Linked DNA regions of Rattus norvegicus. The main gene of each other region encodes a partner of the protein of the gene in region 4 in a complex. Links are inferred from orthologs where the notes say so. Each region holds a gene or a part of one and is shown on either strand. Other genes may lie near its edges.

Region 1 (7,375 bases), on a different chromosome or scaffold from region 4:
AAAAAAAAAAAAAAAAAAAAAAAAAAAAACAGAACAAAACAAAAATTGAGGGCTTGTGGAGGCAGGCTTCTCGAGGTAGCCAGCAGTGTAGCAGGGTGAGCGACACTACCATAAATACACAGTACTGGGGCTCTGTGAGGCCTCCAGTACCAGAAAGGGTCTGGGATGGCCTCAGGCTCAGCTCTGCAGGAGGCCCATCCTTTGAGTGAGCAGCTGGGAGCCAGCTTTTTGCCTGCACGTAGGTATTACCAGCCAAGACTTGTTCTGAGTACCAAGCTCATAGATCCTGTGGTTTTGTGCTGGTTAATTTTACGTCAGCTTTTCTGTCACAAGCTAGAGACATTGGAATATGAGGAAGCTTCAATTAAGAAAATGTCTTCATAGGATTGGGCAGGCTGGTAGGGCATTTTGGTAATCAATAGGTGAATGCTCAGCTCATTGTAGATGGTGCCATCCCTGGGCTGATGGTTCTGATTGCTGTAACAAAGCAGGCTGAGCAAGCCACGAGGAACAAGCCAATAAGCAGTGCCCCTCAGTGGCCCAGACCTATTTCAGTGATGGTCTGCAAGGTAGAATTCTAAGCCACTAAGCCCTTTCCTCTCCAGCTTGCTTTTGGTCATGGTGTTTATTAAGCAACAGAGACCCTGACAGGAGACTGCTTCCCTCAGAACCTCAGCAGTCTGTGAGCCCTTTGCTTTTGTAAGTTCCATTGACACATACTGCTTTTATTGTGTTTGGTTTGACACAGACTTTCTCCATGTACAGCACTAGCTGTCTTGGAACTCGCTTTGTAGACCAGGCTGGCCTTGAACTCCCAGAGATCTGCCTGCTTCCGCCTCCCAAGTACTGGAATTAAAGGGGCATGCCACATAATTGGCTCTACATTTGTTCTTTATTAAAAAAACTAGGGTGTTTTGTTTTAATTTTAAGTCTTCCCCCCCCCCCCCCCCCCAGAGCTGGGGACCAAACCCAGGGCCTTGCGCTTGCTAGGCAAGCGCTCTACCACTGAGCTAAATCCCCAACCCCTAATTTTAAGTCTTATATTTGGGTTTTAGAGTCCTCTCACCTAGCCTTTTTTTTTTTTAAATTTTATTGTGTATGAGTGTTTTGTTTGAATATATGTCTAAGCTATGTGCATGTCTGCCACTCTTGGAGGCCAGAAGATGCCATTGGATGCCCTCAGACTGGTGTGACTGACAGCTATGAACTACCATATGGTTGCCAGGACTTAAGTCAAATCCTGGTCTAATAGAAGAACAGCCATGCTCTCTGCTGAGTTGTCTGTCCAGTCCTTTCCTAATCTTACGATGTTAATATTCTTTAGTTTTGTTTCTGTTCCTTTCTTATTTTACAGACTGGCCTGTTTTTTTCCCCAAACTTTGCTTTTCTGGCATATGCTGCTGTCCTCCCTGGAGCTGTTGGCTCAGCCATGGGACCTTCCTTGAGCTCTGCCAGTGGCTCTGTGCTGTTGAGTGTGTGTTCTTCACTCCTGCCTACTCCCCACTGCAGTCTGTGCTGTGTGCCATACCTTCTGATTTTCACTCACACCATAAGCTCTTTCCTTATAACAGTTCTTTGTCAAGAGTTCATACAGGACTAAGTCCCATTGCCTCCCTTTTTTCTCTTCAGGATAGAACATAATAGAATTTACTCCCACAAAATGTCCAGCACCGGTATCCTTGAAGCACCCCTTCTGGCTGGAATCTGACACCACACTATTCTCTCATGCTGCTGCCTTCAGTGTGGATGTCCAAGGGCTCCATGGACAGGAGTAAGGGCAACTCTGGAGGTTTAAGGGGTCAGGCTTTCTATGTGGTGAACAACCTTCCAGCATTTCATAAGTTTAACAGTGTGACAGAAGAGGCCTAGGAAATGTAGTCTTATGGTTTGATTAGGAAAAGGTGAACAGTCTGGTAGATACAGCTGTGACAGTAAGTAAACGATAAACCTAGGTGTCATGTGTCTTAATGGTCACATGTCTAGTATAATCCTACATTCCAGATATGCTCCAGTCACTGGGCTCCAAAGCTCTCCTCTGTGTGGTTTCTCACCGTGACTGGCAGACATGCAAGAGCCTCTTGGGAAATGGTATATTTCTGTGCCTTGACTTGACAGCCATGAGGGCTAGTGTACAGAAAGGACATCAGGTGTAGAAGGGAGTTTTGGACTGAGGGAGAGACCTTGGGTGATGAAGTTGCTGAACTGTGAGGTCTATACCTTCTGCAAGGGTGGAGGGCGTGGAAGAGGTGCTTCACAAGAACAGCGGAGAAGACAGCACCACAGCAAGCTTTGGTGAGACCAGCAGTTGTGGAGTAGTTTGACAACATGTTAATTCATGTGTCACACTACCAGCATGCGTGGAGAAAACTAGGGGCCCACAGATGTCAGGGTGTTGGGCTACGGCGCTTGCCCGGAACCCGCACTGGTGGTAGTCTCCTGCCTGGGATGGTTCTTTCCCTATCCTCAGGCAGCACACGAAGATCAGGATGGAAGTAGGGCACAGGAATGCATGGTGGAAGGCAGGTGCCGCTCAGGGCCCTGGGAGTCTGCTAACAATACGGTAAATAGTCACAGTGCCAGCCATGGAGCAAGTGACTAACTTCCTGATGCTGAAGAAGACACTGAAAGGGGGGGTCAGCTCTGTGCAAACTGCTCAGCAGTCCTGGAGAGGCCTCCACTCCAGCATGACATTCTACTGGGTACATCCTGTTGGGCGCCAGGCCTGTTTCTGTTAGAGAGGTGCTAATGAAGAAATCAAGAAATGCAGGCCCCAGAATCTCTGAAAAAAAAGTGACACTTTATTATATAAAACTATCTTTATCTCCCCCACTTCTCAGCCAGGTTGGTATGTCCTTGGTTGTGTGTGGGCTGTAAGGTATTTGGTCCACAGTGGTGGAGAGAAAAGCTGACATTTTTATTGTGGGTTTCCCTGTGGCAGGCTGGGACTCAGGACTCCTTGTGTGTCCACAGGCCCAGTATCATAGCCCAGCTTCTTCATGTCCTTGGTCACCACATTGAAGAGGAGGGTAACAAATCCCTGAGAGCGAACACGGGTCACTGGGGACAGAAGCTGAGCATTAGCTGGGTTTGACTGGGACAGACAGAAACCACCTGCTGAAGCCCTTGTGTAGGTAGGTGGTGGTCTAGAAAGTTCTTTGGGTGTCTTGTATATCACTAGGTCCCAGTTGTCTGGAAGCTCCTTGACTTTCACACATGTGTTTTCTGGGCTCCTAGGGATTGGGGACCCATCTCAACCCTTAAGTTACCTGAAGCATCAGTCTTACCTTCCCGACCTTCACCCTGGGCCACCACCTTGGGGTCAGTGTACTCTGGCCGACGTCCCATGAACCAGCTGAGAACAGGAAAACACCAGTGAGGAGCACTTGGGACTTGCTGGCTTCAGACACTGAACAAGAGTGTTCCAGGCTTAAGAGGTTGTAGCATTTCTCCTGCAACCCCTCCTCTAGGTGCCAGGGCAACCTCCTACCTATTTGATAGGCCAAGCGGGGTGCCAGGAGATGTCCCCTGTTAGGGGTCCATTGCCAACAATTCTAATAGTGCCAGGTGCTCCAAGGGGTGTCTAGCCTGCCTGGCCAAGTCTTTTGTGGTTTTAAGCCAAGGGTGAATGTTGAGAGAGATGCAGGGCCAATAGTACAACCAGGAGAGAAAGCCTAACCCCAAGAAGGGCCAGATCCAGCTTCCTAAGCTTTGTCTCCTTATGTGGGATCCAGGACAAGCCACACCCCACCACTGAACCTGTTTATCTAGTATAGGGTAATAATAGCACCTACCTCATGAGACTGTGAAGTGAAGGCACCCTATCACCTGCTGTATGAAACATTACCCATTCTAGGGAGGATCTGGCCCTGGAAGCCTGTGGATAGCGACAGGTCATCTGACTTTTAAAAGTCTCACCTAGCCAAGGGTACCATTCAGCCCCCAGGCCCTGGCTGGCAAACTCAGAAGCACTTCCTACAAATGTCTTGTAATTCACAATCCTATTGCACCCAAACTTCAGATCCTGGGCCCCACCCACAGCTCTATGATATATGGATACAGACCCTGCATTTTGTATAGGCTTGGAGCATACAGAATTAGCCCAAGCACAGCAGCTAGGACTAACTCAGGCTTTGTGGAACAACTCCAGCATTCCTGTTTGCCTGAAGAGGTAGGACTTCGTCTTCTACCTGGACAGTTTGCAGCAGGCATTCTTGTAACCATGACTACACACCCACAACCTACAGCTATGCTGAGGTTATGGCTAGATCTCTGGACTTCTAGGCTAGACATCACAGTCCTATTAAACTGCTGGGTAGGAGTTCCTGAGGGGGCCGTAGGAGAAGAGTTCAGACAACCTAAGTAGAGAAGCCAGGATTCCTACAGCTAAGCATTCTAGAAACTAGATGAGTGGGTGTCTCTCTTCTGTTTCCCAACATAAAAGTTCTAACTGCACTCAGTACTATGAGGAGTCTCAGAGCAATCCTGGCATGTAGGCACCCTGGCCATATTTCCAGTTCTCTTCTACAGTCATGGTTACCAGAAAGCCTGCTCCAAACTACCCAGAAAGTAGACAAAGTCCTACCTCCTCAGGCAAACCGGAATGCTGGTGGAGTTGTTCCACAAAGTTCTCTCTACATTTAAGTGAAAAAAATCTTTTTCCATTTGAGAAGAGACAGAACAATGTTCCAGGCAAGGGCTGAAGCAGAGCAGAACCTCGTGGGCTCAAAAATCCAAGGGCTGATAAAAGGGAAGCAAACAAGGGAGGCCACTGCCATCCTGGTTCAAGAGACTCCCAAATGCAGAGGGTAAGCCACAGTGCTTCCAGCAGCAACAACACCCTAAGACTCTGGAAGGACTGGATTGGAGATACTGCAGTGGTCTGAGTAACAACTTTAGGAATACTGAGGGAGGACCAGAGACACCGAGAAGGTGACCGGATTTGTGAAGAGGGTCTATATAGGTATTACTAAGAATACTACAAGGTAGAAACTATCCTGGGTTATCATGATAGGTTAAGGCAAGGTACTGTCAAGGCAGCCAGCCATAAGTCTTTCTTGAAGCCCAGAACCTTTTTTTCTTCAGCCCTATGAAAACTAGGGTCTAGTTCCCTTCTATGGCTTCTATCTAAGCCCACTATCATGACCTGACCTACTACTTCAGTCCCGAAGGTTGGTGGTATCTCTCCCAGGTGATCCTAGCCCAGGAACAGCTAAGAAGCCCTTTCTTTCTTGAGAGCTCCTCCTAGAGAGTATTTTGTGGCAATGGGGATCTGAATCTTAGGGCTGGAGCCAATGGTGAATGTTGTCCCTTCCTTGTATAGACTTCAGATGACTTCCTTGGTTGAGCTCGCTTTCTCTTCCTATCAGGACTCTGCCCAGGTCCCTTTGCCTGATACTAGCTTGCAAGAAGCTTCTCATTGGCTGCTGCCTGAGAACCCAGTGGCCCTTCATTTTCTTCTCATCCTTTTCAACCAGGAGGGGAGCAGAGATAGCATACAGCAGAGCTGGTCTAGCAAATTCCTACTTGGATGTGGCAAAGGGTAGAAGGCCTTTCCTCTAAGGCGTCTCTCCAAGGTTTCTGTCCTGTTGTATGGGACCTTCTCACTGTCATATCCTGGCCACTGGCTGCTCCTAACTCTTAAGTCTTCCTCAGGGCCTGTAAAGAGGACGAAGGGCCCTATGTGTGAACATGCTTCCCAGATTCCGCATGGCTGCTGCTCTTGTTCCTACCCAAAATGGCCTCCCTGTGGTGCCAATGCATGAAGGCTTTAGTAGAAGGTGCTGGCCAATCAGTTATCCATTAGATCAAGGGCAAGCAGAAGACCTACCTTGTGAACTTCTGTAGTGTAGATGTAGACTCTGGCACAAACATGGGGATGGTCCTTTTGTGCCTGAAACAAGTGTTTTCATACAGAGATGTGCTGAGGAACAGATCAAAGTGTGTGGCTCCACACTGGACTTTCTTCCTTCTACACTCACTACTGTCCCTCTCCAGCGGTACATATATCCTACTTACATGGGTCTTTTCCAAGGTGCCAGGCCACCCAGGTCCCTGAATGTAACTTGCCCAAGTCAGAGGAAGGAGCAGTGGCCAGAGAGTCTGAGTCTAAAACTACTATTTTCAAGGTTTGCCTGCTCGGTAAGGGGCAAATTGCAGGCCAGGGGCCAAGTCAAGCATGGGCACCTACCGTCCAGGAGAGAAGGGCACATGCACTGCTCCATAGCCTCGGACCACGTCATTCCCAAACACGTCCGGTCCATACACGCTGAGTACAATTTGTGGCCCTTGGAAAGGACAAGGTTGACATGTAGGAAAATCAGGGAAGGGGAGTAGTAGCTGGTGTGCCTAGTTGAAAGCTGGAACAGACATTTAAGAGAGTGATGGCTAGGGGTTAGGGATTTAGCTCAGTGGTAGAGCGCTTGCCTAGCAAGTGCAAGACCCTGGGTTCGGTCCCCAGCTCCAGAAAAAAAGAGCCCTAGGAACCCAGTCCATACCCAGGGCTTGTGTTCCCCCACTACTTTCTGTATCTCTGCTGGTGGCCTGGCAGTTGGGAAGGAGAGCTAGAACATTGAGTAGACACAGGAAGTCCTATGGAAGCCCTGTGCCAACCCTGAGCCCACCCTGAGCCCCTCCTTCCTTGCTGATTTGTGTGGCCTTACCAACTCTGACACCCTGAAGAAATCATGGCCTTTCAGGTACTTTTTCCTTAACATACTGACGTTTAAAAATGCTTCCTGTTCACACCCAGCCAGACCCACTACTATCTTCTACTCCAAAGGACAGGTGAGGCCTGGAAGCTGGCTCTGTAGTTACCGTTGAATGGCCTTAGACCAACTTTTTCTCTCATGATCTTTCTTGTGTCTAAAAACCTTAGAATGGCACCACACAGGTGGTGCTCAGTGAAGGATAAAAAAAGCTGTGCCTCTCACTCTGCCACCAAAGGTGACCTGGGAGTTACTCAGATAGTTCCTGTTCAGCCTTGTCATTCTCAGTGCTACATACCTGGCCATCCCCATTAACTGTAACTGTTGGTGATTGTGGGCACATGGGCTGTTCCTCTGAGAACTGTTGCAGTAAGTCTCAGGTCAGTCACACATAAGCTCTTGTCACACTGTACTCACCTCTGAGTGCTGGTCTCTGTTGGGTATGTGCTCAGTAAAGGACTCAGGCAGGCAGTTCTCTGGTTAGTACTACAGTACGCTGTACTCTCAATGGCTGCTTCCCCCAACAGTGTTCTCTGAACTTCACTGGACTACACTCTTGCTAACCTTACAGAACAACCGTAACCTGTCCTGGCGGCCTCCATTGTTTTGCTCGTTTTCCTAGCTTTGTAAGGGCTCAGGATTAGAAGGGTGGCTATAGGATGAGGGGAAAG
Region 2 (8,326 bases), on a different chromosome or scaffold from region 4:
TTTTTTAAGATTTAATTTTACCCAGCCATAGAAGCACATGGCTTTACTCCCAGCAACTGGAAGGCAGAGGCAGGCAGATCTCTGTGAGCTCAAGGGCAGTGCAGTCCACATAGAGAGTTCCAGGCCAGCCATGGCAACACAGTGAGATCCTGTTTTCAAACAAAGCAAAATGTGTTTCCGTGACACAACCTCTAGAAAGTGCCTGTTTCTACCTTTGAAGCTGGCCCGGCCCACTCCATTACTGGGTAGCATCCAGTGGTCTTTTGATTTTAACAAGACCCAGCTAAGTCACAGCCCAGGGTCCCCACATGACTCTGCTGAGGTGGCATAGAGAGTTGTGCATACTAGATTACCTTTATCCTGTCCCCCATGTCCCCACACTGTCCCCACACTGTTCCCTGTGCGAGTGAGTGATTTGCCCTGAGAGGGCAGTTGTAGTGGCCTTGGTCATAAGAGCAGACGTGTAAGGGCTGCATCTTTAGTTCTAAAGTGATGGCTTCAACACTTGCCAGTATGAATTATAAACAGTTCAGCAAAATTGAAGACAACATGAAGAGCTTTGGGCGCCTTCCCAAATATGGCTTCCAAGAATTAACCTGGAGAGTCCTCGTCAGAAGCATCCTGTCTGTCCTCAGGATGTTTTGTCACTCTTCTGGTGTCATGATCCAGGCTTCCTGACAGTATTTAGAAAGTTTGCAGGCTCGGTCCTCCCCGATCCTGCTGCTTAGCCAGCCACTGTGTGTGAGCTGCCTGGAAGGCAGGCTGCACCTCCTGAGGCAAGGGTTTGCTCTGGGAAGCTGGGCTTCGGCTGTGAACCTAAGACTGAGTGTAGAGGTCTGCACTGTGTTCCGGTGTTAAGCGTGTGTGTATGTGTGTGTGAGCGTGTGTGAGTGTGAGAGAGCGTGTGTGTGAGAGTGTGTGTGCATGCGTGTGTGTGTGAGTGTGTGTGCCTGTGTGTGAGTGTGGGAGAGTGTGTGTGTGTGTGCCTGTGTGTGAGTGTGGGAGAGTGTGTGTGTGTGTGTGTGTGTGTGTGTGCACACGCGTGCACAGTTGGTCATACAATGGAACTGTGTATTTGTAATGTGCCGGGCAGTTTCCCCCTTTGGTGCTGGGTTGTGAACCCTGTTCTCCCATATGCTGGCCCTTCTGTCAAAGTGACCAATGCTCTGGCTTTGGTCAGAGGTTGTGCCAGCGTCTCTGCAGTCTAACCCAGGAGGTTTTCATCACTGTAAGAACTGTAGTATCCCTTAGGTGTCACTCCGTGGGCTTTTCAGTTCTGGTCCCTGATAACCACTTTGGTCTCTGCATTGGAATATCCATATTGAGTGCAGTCTGCAGGATATATGGCCTTTGGTGTCTGCTTTCTGTTCTTTCTTTTTTAAGATTTATTTATTAATGTCTGTGAGCACACTGTAGCCATCTTCAGACACACCAGAAGAGGACATCAGATCCCATTACAGGTGGTTGTGAGCCACCATGTGGTTGCTGGGAATTGAACTCAGGACCTCTGGAAGAGCAGTCAGTGCTCTTAACTGCTGCACCATCTCTTTTAAAACATTTCTTTTAAAAACATTTCTTTTTATTATTTTTAAACTATATTCTGGGAGTGGGAGGTGGCATACCTTTAATCCCAGAACTTGGGAGGCAGAGAGAGGCAGATCTCTGAGTTCCAGGCCAGCCTGGTCTACAGAGTGAGTTTTAGGACTGCTGGGGTTACACACAGAAGCCCTGTCCTGAACCTGCCCCACTCCCCCGCACCCCCGGAGATGATTATGTGCATGTCTCTCTGTGTGTGCAGTCCCAGAAGAAGGCGTCAGGCCACTTAGAGCTGTACTTACAGGTGGTTATGAGCCCCTCAGCATGGTTCCAGGAACAGTGCTCTTAACCACTGAGCCATCTCTGCAGCCCCTGGTGTCTGATTTCTTCCACTTACTGTTTTCAAGACTCACCCTGCAGTAGCACGTGTGGGTATTTGGTTTTCATGTGTGAGTCATGTTCCTTGTGAAGATGGACACTTGACACTGGTCCAGTTCTCAGCTGATGGACGTCCGGGTTGTTTCCGTGTCTGTGATGAATAGGCTTCTTAGAATGCACCTTTGAACACGTGTGGTGTGTGTGTGTGTGTGTGTGTGTGTGTGTGTGTGTGCTCGGAAATACCTTCACTCTTGCAAAGGTGTGTGCACTGTGTGCACAGTGTGGGTAGCAGTGGGTGTCCTCTGCTTTGCATTTGCTGCCACTGAGTGTTCATTTTAGGCTCTGGGTGCTGGAACAGGGTCACCTGTGCTGTATGTCGGATGTGGCTGGTAGCCTCATGACCAAGATACTTTCCCTCTCAGGTCTCCATCAAGATCCAGTCTATAATGTATCGGTCTCTGAATCACACACTGACCCAGTTAGAAGGCCGTGGTATCCTGCGGCCATCTCTGGTCAGCACTGGGCAAGACAGACTCTGCAGCAACGTTGTTCTCCAGGTAGGCATCCAGTGTGTCTGCAGTCTTGCTCCAACTGCCTGACTCCAGCCTGCTGGCTGCAGGGGAACTTCACACCTTCCCCTGCTGGACTGCTGGTCGCTACCGTGCTGGTTCTCTTCTTGGTTGACCTCCAGCTGCTCCTGCTGCTCTGCTCTCCCGCCAGAGAGCAGGCCTTCACCTGTCTACATGATCCAATACCTTGCAGGAATACATCACATTTTTCTTGTCAGTGGTTAGGACGATGGCTCAGTGGAGTAAGAGTGTTTGTTCCACAAGGATGCAGACCTGAGGTCAAATCCCTAGCACCTATGTAAAAAGCCAAGCATGGCTACCACCATAACCCCAGCACTGGGGGACAGCAGATCCCCAAGAGTCAGCCAGCCTCACTGAAATAGAGCTTGTGGTTCAATGAAGGACTGTGTCTCCAGGCAGTAAGTCTGAGAGTTACAGAGGAAGACACCCAGTGTCACTCTCTGGCCTCTGGCCTCTGGCCTCTGCATGTGCAGGCATGGGTACACACTCTCTCACACTCGCTCACACTCTGCATGTGCAGGCATGGGTACACACTCTCTCACACTCAGTCACAGGCACCATACATACAATTTATCGCTACCACCATTTGATGGGACTCATTTCTTCTGCAGAAATAGGCTGTTCACATTGTGCTTGAGTCAGCTGATCTGAAATGTCAAAACCCTGGGTACAGAGAGGCTGAGGTGACTGTCCACTAGGATGCTAAGGGGATACGAGTGACATGATTGGACAGCAGACTTGGGGGCTGTGGTCTTTCTGTGGCTGCTTTGTTGGAGTTGGTAACATGGCTGCTGAGCCCCATTCTTCCCCAGGTAAAGTACAGTCTGCTATACACAGCCAGCGGCCAGATCCAGGAAGCCGGCCTCTCCCTCGTGCTGGGGACGCTCATCAGCACCGTGAGTCTCCTGCAGCAGAAGTTTGAGATTCACTTTATTCAGGTGAGTCTGAGAGGAAGCCTGGCTTCTGGGGGCAGCACTGACAGTGGAGAAGCATGACCCAGCTCCCAGCCTGAGCTGCAGTAATGTGTGGGGTTTGCCTGGAAGCCGGGTGCTGTCCCATGCCTTGCAGGCTCACAGAGCGCTGTCCTCCCACTCTCTGGGATCTATTTATACTTCAGAACAGAGGGAGCTGCTCTTCCAGATGTTACAGTGAGAAGCACTGTGTTGCCCCCGCTCTTACCTAAATAATGTTGCCCAGGTCATCACCTTGTCTTTCAGCATGGCACCAAGCCTGTTCCTCTCAGTGGCAACCCTGGTTACAGAGTGGGACTCCCGCTGGCCGCTGGCTTTCAGCCTCAGAAGGGGTATCCTTTTTTTCCGGGTCTGTGGAGAAGGTCACCTTCCCTGTCTGCATGGTGGGCCGTGCTTCCATTTGTTGCCAGAGACGCTGTGGGCGGCCTATGGGAAGGAGGTACCTGATTGGCCAGAGCTTCCACTGAAAGCGCGTTCCACTGAAATGTGGCACGGCTGGTTTAAATGGAGTCTGGTGCTTTGGGGAAGATGGCAGTGCATTTAAAAGGACAGCTGGAGGCAGAGGGTTCTTCTAATCTTTGATTCATTTATTCAGTTGTTTTTAAGAAAGTCTCTCACTGCGTACTGGAGCTCACTATGTAGGCCAGGGTGGCCTCAAACTCAGGAGGATGCCTTGCCTCCTGAGTGCTGAGGTCAAAGGTCACTCTTTGGCATCGCTTCCAATCTCAGGCTGGCTGTGGCGGTGACTTGAGGAGTCTCCTGTCTCAGCCCCCTCACCTTACACTTCATTTCGAAACAAGGTTCCAGCAAGTCGGTCACCCTGACTGGTCTCACGCTCACTTGTAGCTCAGGTGGTCCTCAAATGTGCCCCCCTCAGCCTTTTGAGGGGCTTGATTGTGGGCCTGGCCACCGCAGCTGGCTGGAACTAGTTTGGAAGATGAGCCAATCAAGAAAGAGATTTGCTGCCGTGTTACCCTTCCTGGTAATAGGCCAGGGCCTGGAGGAGCCTGCGTCTCACTCAGGTCTCACAGCATGCGTGAAGCCATTTTCTTCCTAGACAGTCTGACTGCTCTGGAAGTGTTGACTGTCCCTTAACAGTCTGTGAATGTCTGGGATTATTCAGACAACGAACAGACAAGGCCAGCTTACTATTCTTCGTAGCACAGGCAAGCAGGACTGCCTGGCCAGCCACGGGCAGCGGGCTCCTGTGCTGTTTGGCTACAATGTGCAGTCTGGCTGTCAGCTCAGGTGAGTGGCTGTGGCAGAGATCACACATCCTTCAGCTTTAGCCACATCGATAGCACAGGCGTCACAGTGGAGGCTGACCCTAACCCTGTGTAGCTCAGGGCAGACTCGAACTCCTGGCCCTCCTGCCTGAGCCTTCTGAGATCTGCAATGGCATTTATGGATCTCTGGGTCTGTGTATTTGTTGATGAATTCCTACTCTGTACAAACCCTTCTCTTTGCTCCTCTCATCTCCCTTCCCCTGTACCCTTCCCACATCTTTGCAGTGACTCTGTTGTTAGTTTGACTGCTAGATGTCAGATCAGTGTTTCTTCCTAAGAGTTCCACCGAACACTTTGCCACAGGATGCCAGGAGACATGAGAAAGCCACTGTGTTTCCTGGCTTCTGCCCATGGCACAATGTTCAGAGGGGGCAGGGGAGTGGGAGACAAGTTGGGAAGCTGCTTTGGGCTATCTCCATGACCAGGATGTGCAAAGGCAGGGCCATGTCAGCAATTGGAGGATCACATTTTTGGAGAGGGAGGAAGAAGTGTAGAGGCTGACATGTCTTGGAGGTTGTCAGCTCCTCCCTCTGTTGGCCTCTCTTTCCTTCTCAAAGGTTGACAGGCACCATCCCATGCGGGCTTCTGGCACAGAAGATGCAGGATCTGCTGAGAGGCCAGGCCTTCCCTGACTACGTGGCTGCGTTTGGGAACTCACGAGCCCAGGATGTGCAGGACTGGGTGCCTGTGCACTTTGTCACCCACTCCTCCAACACGAAGGTAAAGACTGAGAGGCTGCTGGCCCCCCTCGAGTGTGCCTTCCTCTGCCTGGTGGGCCACAGGAGGCTAGGGAGGCACCAGGGCGGGAGGGAGGCAGGCAGGCAGGTTTCAGGGAGGGGGAGGGAGGAAGAAGGCTACAACCAAGCTGGGTGGGTTTCCAGCTCGCTCCTCTTCACGTGCCTTGATGAGTAGTTTTCAAGCGTCTGTTTGCTTCCCTGTGATGTGGAAACTGAATGGACCAGGACAGCACAGGACCCCAAGACCAAGTTCTCAGCACAGAGGAGATGTATTTGCCCCAGAGGGACAGAGGGCAAGGAATAAGAGACAAAAACAGGAGATAGAGGATGAGGGGGAAGGAGAAAGTAAGAAGGGATGGGGGTTAGGGGTGTGATAATGCCCTGCAGGGACAAAGAACTGCCTCTGGATAGAAAGGAGACAGACAAGGCCCGTAGGCAAATAGAAATTTATAAGGGATGAAATGTTTTATTTTAACTGGGTGTGTTAATCAGGGCAGCCAAAGGGGGCTTTACTTTGATAGCTGGACCTTGGTAGTCAGCCTCAGGAGGAGGAGGAAGTGGCCAAATGTGGGCACAGGCCTTGGGGCCAGCTTTGGGGATGTGATCTAATGATTTAACAAGGCAAGGCCTGCCAGAGCCATGTTGGCCAGGCCCGGGCCTACCAGAGCCCTCCAGAAACAATGTCACTGACCACACAGGGTTATTTGTTTGGTGTTGGCGGACACAGTGGTCACTCCATAAACTGGGAGCACAAGTGACCACCATAGTCGAATATGGTTGGGAAATCAATGTTACATCTAAATCTGGAACTTTTTAGTGCTAACATGTTACTCATCATATGGTAGCTGTGGTCAAAACTGGGGCTCCCTGAAATATCTCTAGCCCTCCTGTGTGAGGTGGACATGAACCGTGAATTTCCTGTCCATCTTCAACTTTCTCAGTCCCCAGGACACCAGGCCCTCCAGAGTTTCCTGCAGTCCTCCAGGATGGTCAGCTCAGAGGGCAGTGATGCAGTAAGCCTTCCTCGGGCATTTGGGGACAGGAGGGACAGGAGATGTGGCCATGCCATGCCCTCTGTGCTGTAATGGCAGTCCACCCACACGGGAGTTCTTTCCATTCCAAAGTTCCCCAAAGAGTTTAATGGAAGCTGACATCCTACAAATAGCTTCCTGGTCACACGTGACTCTTCTGCCCACCTCCTTCTCTTGTCTTAACAGCAGAGTGTGGGCTGTCCCCAGCGGAGGTGTGCACTCCATTCTCCCCTAATTACCCAGCTATTTCTTGTCACAGCCGCTTCAGGCCTCTCAGTATCTGCTTTGTGTATTTACAAGGAGCAGCTCAGTGGGGAGAGTAACCTCACCAGACCTCCATTCCAAGAATCACTTAACCCCTGCTCAGCCTCAGTGAGCCTGGGGCATGGCTCCTAGCTTCCTGACACTGGGTAAAGACACCAGGCATTAGTGCCAGAGGAAGCAGGCCCACTGTACCTGCCACAGCTCCTCACCTAGCGACAGGATATTGGCAAGCCAGTTCAGTGACAAGGTTCCTAAAAGGCACTTGTAAGCTAAAGAATCCTGTGAATGCTTTTGGCAGTCTCCAGTTTAGCAGGTCTGCTAGCTTTCTAAGCCAGGACATAATTTAGAAAAATATACATGGAGATTGAAACATCCAGGCAAGTACTGTAGCTTAGGGGCCCTCTGCCCACTGCAGCTCCTGCAGTCCCAGTTCTCAGCAAGAGGAGGGTCCGGAGGCCCCGAGTCCATCTACCTCAGTGAGGATGCTGCACTGTTACTGTTGTTTGTTGATTGAGACAGGGTCTCTGTAGTCCTGGCTGTCCTGGAACTCGCTGTGTGGACCAGGCTGGCGTTGAACTCAAGTGTCTGCTGCCTCTGCCTCCGAGTGCTGGGAATAAAGGTGAGCACCATGACTGCTCTGCACTGTCACCTTTGGGAACATAGATACCATAGAGCAGGCTGGCTTCAATCCCAGAGATCTGCCTGCTTCTGCCTCCCCAGTACTGGAGGAAAGGCATGTGAAACTGAGCTGGGTTTTGTTTTTTGTTTTGTTTTGTTTTTGGTTTTTTTTGTTTTGTTTTGTTTTTGTTTTTTTTAAAGATTTAAAAAAAAAGTGTATGGGGGCTGGAGAGAAGGCTCAGTGGTTAGAGCACTGACTGCTCTTCTGGAGGTCCTGAGTTCAAATCCCAGCAACCACATGGTGGCTCCCAACCATTTGTAATGAGATCTGATGTCCTCTTCTGGTGTGTCTGGAGACAGCAACAGTGTACTCACATACATAAAATCTTTTATTAAAAAAAAGTGTATGAGTACACGTATATATATGCATGGGCATAGTTCCTGCAGAGGCTAGAGGAGTGTGTCGTGTCTCCGAGAACTGGAGTTACAGGTGGTTTTGAGCTGTCAGGTGGGTGTGGGGACTCAACCTAAGTAACCAGTGCTCAACTGCAGAGCCATCTCTCCACCCCAGGATGTATCTTCGTTGCTAGATGGTGAAATTAGATGACAGAATGCTGGTGTTTCCTGTTTTATTCTAACATGCGATACAAGCAAGTTCACCTTCCCACTGTTAAATTCTCTCTTCCCTGCTGACCCCTAGCCAGTGTCCAGAAACATCTCTGAGGTGGATGAGGACTGGTCGAGGCCCTAAAGGTCCCACCACTGGGTAGTGGAACTTCACATTTGCACAGTGACTCTGGCTTTTGGGACTAGGAGGGGCTGGTGAAACGGCATTTGTAGCACTAGATGCTTTAGTAACTCCAGCTCTGTGAAGTCGCTTGTACCTGAACTTGTGTGGCCCGTTTACCCTAGTGT
Region 3 (8,326 bases), on a different chromosome or scaffold from region 4:
CTCTGGAAGGGATATGCCAAGGGCTTGTACTGCTGCAGAAGGTTGGAGACATTAGAGAACTGGTCTCCCGCGAGAACACAGATCACAACAATATTCCACACAGCACAGCCAGCCAAGAAGCCGTGAGAGAAGAGGCCGATCATCCTGCACAGAAGATTTTAGTTATGTATTAGCCACTAAAATAAAAAGCTAAGGTATTTTTAAAACCTCCTCAAATAAAATAAAGTTGAAAAGCACAAATGGAATGTCTACAAGAATAAATCTACATTCCATTTTAAATTGTTTACGAAGTTGGAACAGCCAAACATTTTTCTTTTAAACGATGCTATCCAATTAACATTTGCTTAATGAACACCAACAAAAGGCAGCCACCTGAAAGCTCGGTGCACGGAAAGTGCCACATCGCGGGTAGTCCAAGATGGCTTCATGTCCATTGACACATCTACGTTTTCTGTGGTCTTTATCAACTCCGAACGGTCCGCCGCCTGAAATCTCCCTGGGAGTGCGGAGCAGACAGAACACAATCACTGAAGGCTAACAAGCAAGCGCCTGAACTGCAGGTCCAGGAGGATCTGGCGCCTTGGCCTCCACGAGCATGCACATGTAAGTGATTGGAATAAAATAAAATCTTAGAAAACAGACCAGGAGCCTGCAGAGTGGAGTAAAGGTGCTGCCTCAGATCAAGTCTGCTGACCTAAGCTTGGCCCTAGACCCACAGAGGCAGCAGGACGGAACTGGCCCCACAAAGTTGTCCTGACCTCACACGAATGTCACTCGTCTACCTCACACCTACAAGCACATGTGCTCAAAACCTAAATAAATAAATAAATAAATAAATAAATAAATAAATAAATAGAAGGGGTTGAATTTGCTATTTTTTTTATTCTAAAAATTACACTGGACTGTAACTTTCCTTTTCTTTCACCTTTGACTACTTAGATATGTAATTTCTTCATCTTTATTTTTAAGATTTAGTTATTTATTTTATGTATGTGAGTATACAGTCTCTTTCTTCAGAAGAGGCATCAGATTCCATCAGATGGTTGTGAACCACCATTTGGTTGCTGGGAATTGAACTCAGGACCTCCAGAAGCAGTTGGTACTCTTAACTGCTGAGCCATCTCTCTAGCCCCAATTTATTCATCTTTTTTTAAATATATATATCATATATATATCATATATATATATGCTATTTTTTATTTACATTTCAAATGTAACCCCTTTCCTGGTTTCCCATCCATAAATCCCCTATCCCATTCCTCTTCCCCCTTCTACTATGAGGGTGTTCCCCCACCCATCCACCCACCCCTTCCCTCCTCCCCGACCTGACATTCCCCTACACAATGGGGGTGGGGGGTGTCCAGTCTTGGCAGGACCAAGGGCTTCTCCTCCCATTGGTGCCTGACAAGGCTATCCTCTGTCCATGTGTACTCTTTGGGTAGCGGTTTAGTCCCTAGGAGCTCTGGTTGGTTGGTATTATTATTCTTATGGGGTTGTAAGCCCCTTCAGCTCCTTCAATCCTTTCTCTAACTCCTCCAATGGGGACCGCATTCTCAGTTCAATGGTTGGCAGAGCCTCTCAGGAGACAACTCTATCAGGTTTCTGTCAGCATGCATTTCTTGGCATCAACAATTTCGTCTGGGTTTAGTAGCTATATGTATATGGGATGGATCCCCAGGTTGGGCAGGCTCTGAATGGCCTTTCTTCAGTCTCCATATCTCCTCCTATGAATATTTTTGTTCCACCTTCTAAAAAGGACTGAAGCATCCACATTTTGGTCATCCTTCTTGAGCATCATGTGGTTTGTGGATTGTATCTTGGGTAATCTGAGTTTTGGGGCTAATAGCCACTTATCAGTGAGTACATACCATGTGTGCTTTTTTGTGACTGGGTTACCTCACTCAGGATGATATTTTTCTATTTCCATCCATTTGCCTATGAGTTTTATGAAGTCATTGTTTTTGATAGCTGATTAGTACTCCATAATGTAGAAGTACAACATTTTCTGTATCCATTCCTCTGTTGAAGGGCATCTGGGTTCTTTCTAGCTTCTGGCTATTATAAATAAGGCTGCTATGAACATAGTGGAACATGTGTCCTTATTGTATGTTGGAGCATCTTTTGAGTATATGCCCAGGAATGTTAGATAGCTGGGACCTCAGGTAGTGTAATGTCCAATTTTCTGAGGAACCTCCAGACTGATTTCCAGAATGGTTTTACCAGTCTGCAATCCCACCAACAATGGAGGAGTGTTCCTCTTTCTCCACATCCTCACCAGCATTTGCTGTCCCCTGAGTTTTTTATCTTAGCCATTCTAACTGGTGTGAGGTGGAATCTCAGGGTTGTTTTGATTTGCATTTCCCTGATGACTAAGGATGTTGAACATTTCTTTAGTTGTTTTTCATCTTCTAAAATAATAATGCAATGCCGATAACTTTCCTCTTAACCCAAGGCCAACATTAAAATAATAACAATTTTAAGATCAACTATATTTAAATCAACAATAAACTTTCAACTCAGAATTAAATTTAAAAGCAAGACAGTCTATAGAAGTAATTTAAATACTTTAGGAATATTAAGATGAAAAGGTTGGGGACTAGAGAAATGGCTGAGAAGTTCAGAGTACTTGCTGTTCCTGCAGAGGACCTGGGTTCTGTTCCCAGCACCCACATGGTGGCTTACAGCCACTGTAGTTCTAATTCTAAAGATTAGGTGCCTTCTTCTGACCTTTGTAGGCACAAGACACACATTTAGAACACAGAGGCAAAACACTCAAACACATAAAATAAAAATAAATAAGTTTTTAAAATAAATATTTTTTTAAAAATTATTTTAAATGTTTACACTATGAAGGCAAGCTATTATTTGAAAAATTCTTTACAATTCTTGAGAAGAGATGCCCGAGTGTGCAGCACAGCCTCCTGTGCTGGCAGGGAAGAGAACTTCAAAAGGCTCTCTTGAGACTCAGGAGTCGGCCTGGGGCAACGCACATATGCACTGTGGTCACTTTCTTCTTTAGGTGTTGCAATCCAGAAATGGGTCAGGAAGCAGGCTGACGCCATCTCAATTACCTTCACAAAACCCATTGCTCAGATATTTTTAAAGGATGAAAGAATAATTAATTTTCTCAAAAAAAAAAAAAACTTTCCTGGAGAGCCAAAAAAAAGCATTTGTGGTTTTCTTTATTGGTCAGTCAAACAGAAAAGTTTTTATACCAAAGGAAACAAGAATAAAATAACTGGTCACATTGCTCTAAAAAAAGAGGGAGTCGGGGGGATGGCCTTGTCTTACAAGCACAGAGACCTGACTTGGGTCCTGACAGCCTACCTAAAATTGCTGTACATTTTTAGCCCAGTGAGTGGGTCCTGTCTCAAAAGAAGCAGATGGTAATTACTTCAGGGTAACACCTGAGTTGGGGGTAGGGAAACTGAAATCAGAATATACTGTATAGGAAAAAATAATCTATTTTCAATTAAAAACAAAATCTAGTTGGAAAAAAAACAATAGTATAATGACTAGATTTGTCTGTCAATTTTCATTCATATTTCTTTATTATTTCCTTCATTCAGGTCATCAGAACTATAATTACCAAGTTAAAGATATCCCTTGACAATATTCAGAGCAATTGTATTCCAAAACAAGGAGTTACTTACGGCTTTTTTCCACAAATATTTTGCCAACAGGCTGGCTGACTCCGGTGGGTGCGGTGAACCTAGAGTGGTGTTCTAGAGTGCTCTGCTCATCCGTAATTACGTCTTCATCTTCTACCCCTAGCTCGCTGGCATACTGTGGTTCCGCTGGCTGCATTTTCCTGAAATCAGGGGAAATCTTTGAAACAATAAATAATTCTTGAATTTTTAAAGACCCACAAGAAATTACCCATGAATATAATAGACAGAATCCTGAACTTGGAGTGAAAGAAATATGCTGTTAATAAATCTAATTAATAAATCTAATTATAAATCTGTTATTAACTGCACACGTTCCTGTGAACCTCGGACTTCTCATTTGGAAAATGGACACTCACTGGACGAGATTTCTCCTGACTTCAAATTATAAAATTCTAAACGTGACTGGTTATTGTTTGCAGTAATTTTTATGTACAAACATTAATGTTATGTAACTTCCAGTATATTTTAAGTATGCTGTTGTATTTTATATGATTATAATGATATGTTATTATTTATAATAAATAATGGAATAACTATATAAGATAGTTAATTTCCTATATTAAAACACAATGGTTAGGCTTATTTCCTACTTCAAATCCATTAACATGGAGAAATGAATCACAGTATTTATCCTTAATGACGAGTTTTGTAACTTATATGAAAATATTCTCTCTGATTGTGCTTTCTTCGAGATGACTCCTTGGGCTAGTTCCATACATTATTCTTCTCTTTTCTTTAGTGTTCTATTCTTTTCAAATTCCTCATAGCATCGGTTCATTTCTGTACTACTGCTTATCCTGACACAACACATGGTGTGATGAGACCCAGCGAGGACTTGAACTAAACACAGCACCAGCTCTGAGGAAGAGCTCCATGGATGAATAAACTATTACTTCGCCTTCCTTCGAGGTTTTGGAATAACCACTTCCTCACGAGGCTCCACGTCCATGCCGTTTTCATTCCGTAGTAAAGACGGACTGGATGGCTTTTCAGTGAAGGAAGTCTCCAACTCTGAAAGTAAGATGTGTCACATGATTACAAGGTAGAAATGAAACAGTACACACCTTTTTCGAGACAAGAGAACTGTCAGACTTTTGGTTGGACCAATTCTTTCGCCAAGGGCAGTGTTCTTTGAGACGGAGTCTGACTATGTCGTCTCAGCTTCCCTGGAATTTGTTATGTAGACCAGGTTAACCTTAAACTCAGAGAACTGCCCGCTAAAGGCATGTGCCAACATGCCCACTGGGATTAGATTTCTTAATTTTTTTCTGTACTGGTTGACATTAAAACTTGAAATTCTACATTTAAAATATAGAAGTGTAAATTTTTTTATCTGAAAAATTTGGCTGGTGTGGTGGTGCATGTTTTTAATCCTAGTATTCAGAAAGTGGAGACAGGCAGATCTCTGTCAATTTGAGACTAGCCTGGACTACATAGTTAAAGTCTAGGCTGGCAAGGACCACATAGTAACACCCTGCCTCAAACAAATGAAACCAAACACTAGCCTCCAAGTTCGGAGTACCTCCAGGTTTAGCTACTTGTTGGCAGGAATCACGGGACTCAGATGTCATTACACTCGTGGTTAGTTTATTACAGCAAAAGAACAAAAGCAAAATCAGCAAAAGGAAAAGTGGAGCGAACCCAGGTGAAACAGCGCAGTGACAACAGTCCTTCGCCAGAGCAAACCGTGCCACGAATCCCAGCAGCAGGTTATGCCAACACAGGGCAGGCAGATCCGACAAGGAAGCTCATCAGAGACTCAACGTCAGTCACACAGACCTACACTTACCAAAATCCCAGAGTCCCAGAAGGGAAGCAGGTGTTCGTCATCACGTGCGAAGGCACAGTGAGCTGCCCTTACAGGTTAGTAAAGGTTTGCGTGAGTGTGGGGAACCGTTCGTCATCCAAATTGCCCAAAGCCACAGACAACAGGCTTTCTGAGAGTGCAGGGATCTCAGTCATATGACCTCTGCTATCCTGCACCCAGTGGAGTCATTAAGTTCAAACAAGTGGACAGGCCACCTACCCATTAGCTAGTCTTCCCACCTGAAAACACTAGATCCCGAGACAGCCTCAACCCTTCAAACGTTTGACTAAAATGCAGCCCAGGCCTGAAAGACAATATAGGCAGAACAGTACACAACGGTCATTCTGGGTAAAGCAAAACAAGAACCAGAGCTTTAAACTCCTAGAAGTCAGAGCAACAGACAACAGACATAGCTCAGATGGTACAGTGCTCGCCTAGTGCACAAGGTTCAGTCCCCAGCACTGGAGAAAAAAGAAAAACAGGCGTGGTCACCATAATCCTAGCAGCTGGAAAGTGGTGAGGAAAGAGGAGGCTCACAAGTTCAATCCTCAGCTACACATCACGGCAAGTGTGGGTTACACAAGACCCTGCTTCAGAAGAAAAGAGAAAAATACTATACCACCAGACCGGCAAAGCTGGTGCACTTAGAATGGCTAGAGCAGGCTCCCCGGAACGCAGATCTCCTTTGGTCTGATTCTTCTCCGGCTTGTTTTGCAGTTTGGGCTTTTTGTTGGTTTGGTTTTTCTTTTCTTTTGTGTTTTGTCTTTTTGAGACACTTTGTCCACACTGACCTGGAACTCATAGACCTTCTGCCTCAGCCTCCAAAGTGGTGAGCCTAAAGGCACGTGCCGCCGCTCAGCTGGGTCAAGAATGTTCTGAAAATGGCTAGGCCAGTTTTATGCAGCTATTCTTCACAGTCTAGGAATTGGTATCATCTCAATTTTCAAATTCTTATCCTGACCAAATGATCAAAACTTTATTGTCATCAACCTACATTCATGCTGGTGATTCCTACGTCGAACGGAGGGTAGGCTCTCCCGTGGGAGTCACCTGGGTCTCCTTCCAACTGCTTCTGCTCTTCCAGCGCCCAGGTACTGTGACACCCACTTCAATGCTTCCCAAAACTGGCCTGTGTTCTCCTCAGTCCTAAGTCCTGCCACTCTGCTCCTGTAACTTTAATCAGTCAGTACCTGCTGCTCTCTAAGAGCACAGTCATTAATTAGTCAGGAGAAACACTGTTAAATTCTCCTCAAGGGCTAATCTGTGATAACAGTGACCAGCTAACCTCACAGTTACTCCTTCCTCTCCTTTGTTTAATATTAATAAAGTCAGTCCACTGTCCCTTTCTAATTACCATAAAACTAATATATGTTCTTAAATGAAGAAAATTAAAATCATATTTTGTTCTTCCTTGTTAAAAGACAATCTAGTCAGTTAGCACCACTGTTCTCCACTGTCTTCACTGTGCTCATGTGTGCCTATACCTACGGTCTAGATTGAATCATGCCCCTGACACACATGCAAGTCAGACATCCAGGACCTGCCAGCATAACTTTATGTGTAAACAGAGCATTTGCAGACATAAACAAGTTAAGATAAGGTCATGCTGGGGAAGGATGGACCCTAAATCCAATGGCTGGTGTCTTCGATGAAGAGAATCAGGGAAACGGGCAAAATGAAACATGTGAGATGGGCAGAGATTGGCATAATGTGTCCACAGTCAAGGATGCTGAGGATTGGCCATCCTGCCAGAGGCTGCAAGGGGCAAGGAAGGCGCCTTCCTCAGAGCCTCTGGAAGCAGTCCAGCCTCGGAACACCTTGATTTTGAACTTCTATCCTTTAGACCCATGAAAAGGATAAATGTTGATTGTTTGAGGTCTCCGAGTTTATAGTAACTTGTTACAGCAACCACAGGAAAAGAATAAAGTATATTTTGTGAGAGTGAGGTCCTCTCCAAGCGCACTGTTTCATAACCTTTGTCGGTCACTCAACAATACTTTGTAGATGTCTTCCCAGGATATTAGTTCACTGGAACACTCCTTCTAACCTATACTTGCTTTATGCTTATTTAGATAAATGTCATTATTTAACCAGGATCACAGAGTTCTGGTGGTTACCCGATTTTAGCTAATATCCTTTGTTTGAAATTATTATAGCCGCTTCCATTCTTAGACATCAGGACAGGCCAAGGCCATTTATGCTCCTATTTCTGTGTTTCTGTGTTTCTGTGCCCATTATCACTAGATTTTATTTTTGTACGATGGTCTTTTTTGAGACAAGATCTTACTTTGTAGCTCAGGCTGGAATTCATTATGTAGCTATCCTACACCTTGCAATCCTCCTGCCTCACTCAGCGTTGTGAGTGCTGATTACAGGTATATACTATGCTCAGCTCAACACTAGATTTTCAAATTTAAAAAGCAAATAGCACTGCCAACTTGATTCTCTCTCTCTCTCTCTCTCTCTCTCTCTCTCTCTCTCTCTCTCTCTCTGTTTACATTGAGAGCACTAATGTAGGTCACAATTTCACAATAAATGGTGACTATTGCTTTATTAGATCCTTGATAGTACAGAATTCACCCTATCTCTACTAATCTGAAATTTTCATTTCACTAATTAAATTCTTGCATGAACTAGGAACTGAGCTTTCTGGTTTAGACCTGATATCTATCTATCTATCTATCTATCTATCTATCTATCTATCTATCTACCTACCTACCTATCTATCTATCCATCCATCCATCTATCTCTATCCCTCTCTCTATCTCTCAGTTCTTCTCTCTTAGACTACATATTCATGACCAAAGAGACCTGAAAAAGGGTCTGAGTCATTGGACTTGAAATGGTA
Region 4 (8,326 bases):
AGCCTGGCTGAAGGCCTAAAACACTTTAATTTTTGCCCTTTATAATAAAAGGCTCCCCAGTACCAACTTTTCATCTTCTAATTTTTATTACAAAATATGAAAGTATGCTAGGAGAGTTTTTTTAAACAATGAAATTTACTTTTTAAAACTTAAAGTTCATCTAACTATCAACTGTTATAGACTTAATGTATAGTCTTTGTAGGCATCTAAAAAGCTGTTAAAATAATTCTGAGAACTTAGATTTTTAAATATGGAAAATATATTATGCCATCCTTAATTTTAGTTGAGGAGATACATGCATACATGCATATATATATATATTATATTATAATGGAATACAACTTACGCAGTCCGGGACTTTCAACCCTCGTACGGTTACATACAGTGTTGATGGGTAACGATTCCTTGGACACTTGGACCACCACTCAAAAACCTCAACAACATTTGGCTGGGATCGAGGCTTAGTAGGTGGGTAGTAGAGCTGCAGACGAAGTTTTGAGTTGATGTTTGCATTTCCATTGGCTCCCAGGAGCTTAAAGTAAGAATTTGTGTAAATAATTAACTTTTCTGAAAACACACACATCCAAGAAAGCAACAGCAGAGTCACAAGCTTGCTTTTAAAAGATTAAAACAAGGTTGAAATTCATTAGGCTTATGAAGAAAAAGGCAGATCAGCCTAGGGCTCAGGTACTTTGGGCTCATTTTGACAAATGACTTTGAGAACATTTCCTAAAAGCAGTCTTCAGCACACAGCGCCTGCAGACCGCCGTGCAAGCCTTTACGTCACAGTAGCGGAAGTATATGTTACAGAACAGCAGATGACACATGCTTGCCTGAACTAATGATGGTAAAGAAAGAGTAAAGCACACAGCACTTCACACAAACATGTTTTCCGGGTTGGGGATTTAGCTCAGTGGTAGAGTGCTTGCCTAGCAAGCGCAAGGCCCTGGGTTCGGTCCCCAGCTCCCCCCCCCAAAAAAAACAAAACAAAACATGTTTTCCACGTGGCCGTTATTTTCCTCAGCAGGACTGAAGATTAAACCCACTGCGGTCTCCCATATGCTCCACAAGTGTATGAAAGATATGTCCCTATCCTCCTTTTCCTTTCCATTTGAAAGGAACCTGGCCAGGCTGGTCTGGAACTCGGGAACTCAAGGAGGTCTTGAACTTGTGAATACCCTGCTTTAGTCTCCCCAGTAGCTGGAACTCCAGGACTATATTAATAGTTTTAATGGTTAAAATTATGTTTTAGATTTTTTTAAGATGCAAAATCATTTTAAGATAAGGTAATTCAAATTGTCCACTTCATTTTTCAATATTTTAGTCTACCTTCTTTGAATGGTCTATTGAAAAAGCCAATTAAATAAAAACTAAGATAAGCAGATAGATGGAGATTCTTAGGAAAAAGGTTAAAATCTCAGCAGTTCAGATAAAGCTTTCTTTTCCTACTTAATGAATGAAGAGGAAATACTGCCGAGGAGAGAGAGAGAGGGTAGGGGGGAGGGAGGGAAGGAGGGAGGGAGGGAAGGAGGGAGGGAGGGGGAGAGGGAGCGTGCAGGAGCACTGTGTACACTGTGAATTTGGAGTAGGAAGTGGCACCGCCAGAAGTAGCAGCACGGCCATTAAGTGTAGGACACGCAGTAGCTGCTGTTGACTGACACAACTTGGAAAGTCAGGGTAAAAAAATCCAAGGAAGACTCAGTGTAGAGCTGTCCCAGAGGCCTGTGACGATGGGATGCGCTACAGTGAGTGAGCACATGGGGCTGTCAAGTCCTCAAGCGTGCTTGGTGCAACCATACAAGTGAGTTTTCCGTTATGCCTAATTGCACTTACTCTGCAGCAAAGCTGCCAGTGTTGCTATGGTGATAAGCTCGAGAGACTGTGCAGGTGATGTGAAACAGGAGAGGGGTTAGAGATTTGCCGGGTCTGCCAATTACGAGGAACAGGAAACAGAAGTGGTTTAAGAACAGTGACCAGAGAAGAAACTGTGAGTTGGAATTACACTAGGAGGTAGGGACCAATCCTGAAGGAATGGGGTACCCAAAGCACATGAGAGTGCTGCCAAGAAAGCAGTGGCAGCAGGGACATCAAAGGAACAGCGTGTTAAATGCATGTATGTTTGACATGGGAACAAGTAACAAATGTTCTCATGTGGCATACAGAGAAACGTTCGTGATTCAGCTGGAGAAGTTTTCGTGGTAGAGGCAAAATCCAGATCGTGGCCTGATCAAGACGTATCAGCAAGGAAGCAGACACAGCCAAGTGTAGCGTGTTTCCCTACAACTTTGGGAAGGATGAGGAGACCACAGACTTAGAGGCTCAGGGAGTGATACTGTGCTCGAGGGGAAACACAGTTTAGAAGGAGTAAAGCAGCACTCACCTTTAAATATGAACTCTGCACACTCTGCACAGGCCTTTACTATTGCCCAGAGCACACCTCAGACTTTAAGGATTCCCCAGCTCCCGAATCGTACTTTTTAAAGTTGTTTTAATATTATCTAGACAAAGTAGTTTATACTGGGGTATTGCTTAGCCAAGTAAACAACTCATGCTAAGAAAGCCCTAATGAGCATGCCATCATGACTGTAAACTACAACACGGCTAGCTCTACGTAAGCTTCATCACTGCACGGTTAAAACAGACACAAGCATATTCTACAAGAATTCAAATAACCTGAGACCAAAGGCGTAACTGAAAATTAAATATGTTTAATGGATCACTGAAAAGCAGGATAGTCCTGAATCCACCAGCACAAATTCTGAGACACTTACATATCAACTTGTTTCATGCCATTTTATTCAAGTTCTAAGTTTATCTCAATTGCTTTCCATTCATGTCAGGAAGTCCTTCAGTAGACATTCACCCCTTTGTGTACCTCTGTGTGCTGGGACACAGTGACCTTGTGAAAGCCCAAGGGAATTATGTAATACATCTAATACAACATCTGTGTGTAGGTGCATGCATACCTCTGAGTGTGTGTGTGTGTGTGTGTGTGTGTGATTATGCACATAAATAAAATAAAAACCTAAAACTGTTCAAAAATCAATGCAAACAAGATTATTGGTAACTTTGTAAAGCTTATAGTGCGATGAAGGAAAAGACACACAGTATTAAAAATGGAAAACACAGAACCTGCTCCCCTCTCTGGAGATAGAGATAAATTAATTTCTTCTGACGGTGGCTCAATATGGATGAATTAAAACCCACATGATCTTGAAAAGTAAAAAATAAAAAGCTGTGGCATCTGTGGTGTTCTAACTGTAGCTTAGGCCCACACAGCAGGTCTGCTCAAACTGTAACGCAGGATAAACGAGCAGCCCCTAAAACACTGCTTTGTGTAAACACTATTATTATTTGCAGTGCTCTTTAAAACTTAGTACAGCTCGGACCCTCACATCTTCCAACATTTATGTTCTGAAGTCAAGGGATTCAGGGCTGCTGACTGAACAATGGCCCACACACTGAAAGGGCTGAATGAATCTCTCACAAATTGAACACAAGATGGTAGGATGCATGTGCCTTTGAGTATAGCATCCCCAGAGTCAAAAAGTATAAATAGTACACACTGGGTAATCAATAAGAATTTCAGACTTTTAATAGCTTTACTAAGAGTTGCGCTAACCAACTCTTAGAGACTGAAACGACTTGGTGGAAATCTGCAATCAAATATAGAAGATATTATTTTAAATATGTTCAAAAGAACAGGTGAAAATGTACCTTAAGAAATGCCCAGGCAATTTTCCGAAAGCCACATTCTTGGTTTTGAAACTCAGAGTTATTCTTGATTTCATCCATGCTTAAAAAGTCAAGAATCTGTAGATATATTTTTAAAAAATTATTTTACAGAATGACAGACTGCCTAAATTGTAATAGTCTCTAATGATATCTTATCATCTGGTACCCACAGAGCATGCTACAACATTAAATTCTTGGTATTAAATTCTCACATTCCCACATAACAAAACTATTAATATCAACAACCTAAACTTGTATGCTTAAATATTTACTAAAATTATTTTTAAATTCATACCTCAAAGAACAGAATGACTTTTGGGCACTCATCAAACTCTCGAAGCAAATAGGGAAAATTTTCATTAAAAATAACTTGTTCCTCCCACTCTGGAAGCCTTGACTTTAGCTTTTTAAAGTCGTACGGCTGCGTCATAATAGGGAGAATATAGTCCACGTTGTCTTTCTCATAGTAAGATGAGACGGGACGCTCACTGTTCAAAGACAAAGTTTCCATATTTTAGAGAGAACACTGAGGGGGAATTACATAGGCCACAAAGGCAGAAATAATAACTATAATGGCACAAAGGCAAAAACAATGTTCTTTAAATCTAAAAATGACACACTTTATAAAACATTAGAAGTAATGGTGTTTTATTATAATCTGGCATTCTGTTTTGGTTCTTCGGGTCAGATAATAATAATTTATTATAAAAGTAGAAAGTGAAAAGTATAATTGACCTTTAATGTACAGAGCTAAAGTATAGCAACTCCCTCAGAAGTTTAAATGAGCTTATGAAAAGATGCATAATAAGTCCAAATAATAATGTAGAAAGAACTTTTCCACTGTCATATTTTCTTTGTACTAACACAACTAAGCAGATGTGTTCTCTTTTTTGTAATAATCTTAGTGTTCTTCTCCCAACATCCTTGTAAGCAAATACTTTTTTGAATAGTATAATCTAGTATAATGTATAGAGAAATGTTAATCCAGCAAATTAACCGCTCTAGTCACGTGCAGTGACCTGCAGGTCTGTGTGAGCTGGCTGGAATGCAGACATGCCCTTAGTACACACCTTCAATCCCAAACAATGACGTCCAACTGAGGCACAGACAAATGATGAGTCAGAGAGATTTTACAGAATAGGATATGCCCAACTCTCAACAAGAACAGCACAGCAAAGAGAGGCTATTTGAGAGGAGCACAGGGAGAAGGGTCAGTCAGTGGGAGTCAGTTCTGGTCCATACAGTTGAGTTCAGTCAGTCAGTGAGTGCAGGCAGTAGAGTTGAGCTCCTTGGTGCTGAGTTCATGCAGTTCTGTACAGGTCAGCAGAGGCAGTTTTTACTGGGACAGTTTTAGAGACAGGTTGCAGAGAGAACAAGCTAGACACATGTGAAGACAGAATGGGCCAGAGAATGAGAAGGAACCAGAGGATTAGAACAGATTGCTAGAATCAGTTTGAGGCCAAGCAGAGCAACAGTCAGAATCTGACAGAAGCCCAGTTGAATAAGTCATTTTGGAGAGGAGTTTAAGCCAGAACAGCTAAATTGAAACAGCCATCCAGAGTTTAGAAAGTACTAGAAAGGGTGAGCTTATTCAGTAGTAAGTCTCTGAGATGACAATTACATCTGACAAATAAAAGTTACCTTTACAATAACAACTTATTTTATTGCCTTTTAAACCTATGTACGTGTGTTCTCTTATTATATACATCATATCCTATGTATATGGATTCAAATATGGCTTCTCTCTAGATACAACCTTAGGGGAAAACATGTTCAAGATACATTTGCAGCACCCCAGGCCCATGTAACACACTAATTTCAATGAAAAGGAGGAGGCTAACGATGAGTACACTTAAAAAATTTACCATGCAAATTTAAGAGCTAATTAGTTAGCTTGACAGACTATACTTAAGATGGTGCATTCCCTCCATTTCTTGTACAGAGCTTACTGATCTAGCTGAGGACACCTACAACCATAGGACTATTTTCTGACATCAGTCCACAGTTCTCTGCCTACTTTCAGTCATGAAGGGCAGCAAAAAAAAAAAAAAAAAATTCTACTGCACAGTTTCAACCTAAAGATGGCATAATTTTAAAAATCACCTGACCTGTCATCTTTCTTGACGTACTGGCCAGTGTGTTCATCAACCACATGGATCTTTACCATTGGGTGAGAAATCATAAAGTCAGATTTAAGCCGATCGGTTCGGTGAATGTAGACTCCCATGACGAGGTCGTCATCGAGCAAACACTTGGGATGAACTGGGCTGTCTCGGCCTGTTATCTCATGAACACCATCTCCATTAGTCTCTTCATTATCCTCTGAAACTAAAGCAGGAAGAAAAGTCAGGAGTAACCGTTCTCACACTTAGGGGTTACAGATAGTTAATCTTAGAAGCGACTGTCTTACTCTGTTGGTAGAAGAACTTCAAGGGAAAAGAAAGGCCATTACTAGCTTTCATTTACAAGGTAACCACGTGCAATTCTAAAATTGGTGGTTGAAAATAAAAATTTCTATGCCACAAGGCACTGCAGATCATTTCCTTGTACAGCTAAATAAAAAACTGTAAGTTCACTATATATACCCACATATAATTGGGAATAATTCATTATTAACAAATGAACACCTTAGTCTTATGAATTAAAATACACAGTGTATCTTGACTTATTTTAAATTATATCCTTCAGTTTTAAGGACTAAAGTTTCTAGAGTCCCGTTATCCTACAAAGGCACATAATTTTATTTAATTTGTAGAACAAACCTGCTTTAGGCTTCTTCTTCATCTTCTTGGGTTTGGGCTTTGTGTTCTCTGGTACACTGGCATCTGCATTCTGTTCTGTTGAGCATCCTCCCTCCCTGTGGTGAGACCCCTCAGGGGCGCCTTCTTTCTTTTGCTCACCTTCAGCTGCACTGTCACAGACATCTGAGGGACTGAGCATAGCGCAAGAATGAATCACTGCAAAGGACATCTGCAACTGTCATTCATGATTAGTAGGTGGGTGGTGGACAGAAGCGATGATATTACATACGCGCCTGTAAAAGTGCCACTATCTGATATTTTTATAGAATAAAATGACTGTTAACTAGGAGTCATAGATAATATTTTATATCTGATCAAGAGTTATGGATCTTAGGAGCCAACAAAAACAAAACTATGAACTGCACGGAACAGCCTCATTCTGAGCAGGCTCACGCACGGAGACATCTGCAGCTGGCCGCCGCTGTGAACTATCACACTCTCGGAAAATAAAATAGTAGTTTATGGTTATGGACTTACATCGTATAGAATTCGAAAGCATCCCAGCCTGCTGCTAACTAAATGTTAATGAATAGATTTCTAAATGATTTAAAAGGTAAAAGACTTTTCAAAGTTTCTTCTAAGAAGTTTCAGCCATACATAGATAAAAGTGCATTGCTTTTGTTGTTTAGGGGCAGGTTCAGAATTCTTTTTTTTTTTTTTTTTTTGGTTCTTTTTTTCGGAGCTGGGGACCGAACCCAGGGCCTTGCGCTTCCTAGGTAAGCGCTCTACCACTGAGCTAAATCCCCAGCCCTTCAGAATTCTTGATAAAAATAAAATTTGTACCACATGCAAACAGTAAGAGGTAGCAGCCTGGAACAGAAGCTATCCTATTAAAGTTTGTTCATGATTTATGAAGTAAAAAAATATGCCTTTAAATAATAAAAAATTAACTTCTATCATATTCATTTATCTTTCAAAAAGAAACATTGGGAAATAAAAAGATTAGATAAATACTTCATGGTAGTTATTGGGAGTTATCCCTGAATACTAGCTATTTTATCAGTCATAAAACACTCCTGTTAAGGAATAGCTACATCTGCATGCCTCCATCATGTATGGCAGGTCTGACTTAAACTGGAGAATGCTCATTTCCTTGCCAATGCAGTAATGGTTTACAGTACACTATGAAGCACAGCCTGTGAGATGGCCATGGCTGACCTTTGCTTCTTACTGTTCAAGAATCTCCTTCTCTCTGAGTACCAGCTGGGCCTTGTCACGCACTTCCAATGGGTTACAGGAAAAATATATGCTAGATTTTAAAAAGATTCACTTCTGTCTTACTATTGCTCTCTCAGAACTTTGATCTGGGGAAGAAAGTTGTCACCTGGGTGAGGAGTGCATGTGGCTAAGAACTTGTCTCTCTGACTGGATGCCACCAGGACCTGAGGCCTGCCTTCAGCCTCATGGTGAGGCACAGCAGCCTCTCTTCTGAGGCCCTCTATGGAGAGCTGGAATCATCTGTTACATCTGTCCCTGGCTAGCATCCTGACTGAAACTTGTGCAGTCTGTGAGAGCCAAAGGTGCCTTCTGAATAGCAGCAAGTGTGAAACACATGCGTATTAAGTTATTATATTCTGGAGTAACATACTATAGATAATTCTTATATTAACATAACCTTGAAGAACTGATCATCTAGATTATGGGCTTTTCTTTTTAGCATAAGGTAAAATAACCTAGACTGCCAATGGCTAGTCACATAAAGGCTGGTAAAGTAACTAGCCAAGGGCAAATTCCCTATGTAAATGATGATGGTAGGGAAAAGAGGATTATGCCACTTGAAGACAGTTTAA

What was found.
Region 1: Ahi1 (region 4) and B9d1 share a complex: the UniProt entries of both Homo sapiens proteins name them as parts of the tectonic-like complex. The link is inferred for Rattus norvegicus from reciprocal best matches to the Homo sapiens genes AHI1 and B9D1.
Region 2: Ahi1 (region 4) and Tctn1 share a complex: the UniProt entries of both Homo sapiens proteins name them as parts of the tectonic-like complex. The link is inferred for Rattus norvegicus from reciprocal best matches to the Homo sapiens genes AHI1 and TCTN1.
Region 3: Ahi1 (region 4) and Tmem237 share a complex: the UniProt entries of both Homo sapiens proteins name them as parts of the tectonic-like complex. The link is inferred for Rattus norvegicus from reciprocal best matches to the Homo sapiens genes AHI1 and TMEM237.

What each region holds. Positions count from the first base shown.
Region 1 is NC_086028.1:46,689,148-46,696,522, reverse strand, and holds the end of B9d1 (B9 domain-containing protein 1), read right to left. Parts: intron 6,357-7,375; coding exon of another isoform or gene 6,285-6,356; coding exon 6,188-6,284; intron 5,891-6,187; coding exon 5,828-5,890; intron 3,407-5,827; coding exon of another isoform or gene 3,353-3,406; coding exon 3,285-3,352; intron 3,058-3,284; coding exon 2,915-3,057; 3' UTR 2,780-2,914; downstream 1-2,779. UniProt on the Homo sapiens protein: Component of the tectonic-like complex, a complex localized at the transition zone of primary cilia and acting as a barrier that prevents diffusion of transmembrane proteins between the cilia and plasma membranes.
Region 2 is NC_086030.1:39,992,159-40,000,484, forward strand, and holds part of Tctn1 (tectonic-1 precursor), read left to right. Parts: intron 1-2,336; coding exon 2,337-2,471; intron 2,472-3,316; coding exon 3,317-3,442; intron 3,443-3,721; coding exon 3,722-3,807; intron 3,808-4,582; coding exon 4,583-4,723; intron 4,724-5,318; coding exon 5,319-5,481; intron 5,482-6,439; exon of another isoform or gene 6,440-7,412; intron 7,413-8,326. UniProt on the Homo sapiens protein: Component of the tectonic-like complex, a complex localized at the transition zone of primary cilia and acting as a barrier that prevents diffusion of transmembrane proteins between the cilia and plasma membranes.
Region 3 is NC_086027.1:68,044,521-68,052,846, forward strand, and holds part of Tmem237 (transmembrane protein 237), read right to left. Parts: intron 4,683-8,326; coding exon of another isoform or gene 4,621-4,682; coding exon 4,565-4,620; intron 3,812-4,564; coding exon 3,654-3,811; intron 497-3,653; coding exon 373-496; intron 145-372; coding exon 1-144. UniProt on the Homo sapiens protein: Component of the transition zone in primary cilia. Required for ciliogenesis.
Region 4 is NC_086019.1:17,588,757-17,597,082, reverse strand, and holds part of Ahi1 (jouberin), read right to left. Parts: intron 6,668-8,326; coding exon 6,498-6,667; intron 6,064-6,497; coding exon 5,844-6,063; intron 4,224-5,843; coding exon 4,031-4,223; intron 3,814-4,030; coding exon 3,718-3,813; intron 533-3,717; coding exon 347-532; intron 1-346. UniProt on the Homo sapiens protein: Involved in vesicle trafficking and required for ciliogenesis, formation of primary non-motile cilium, and recruitment of RAB8A to the basal body of primary cilium.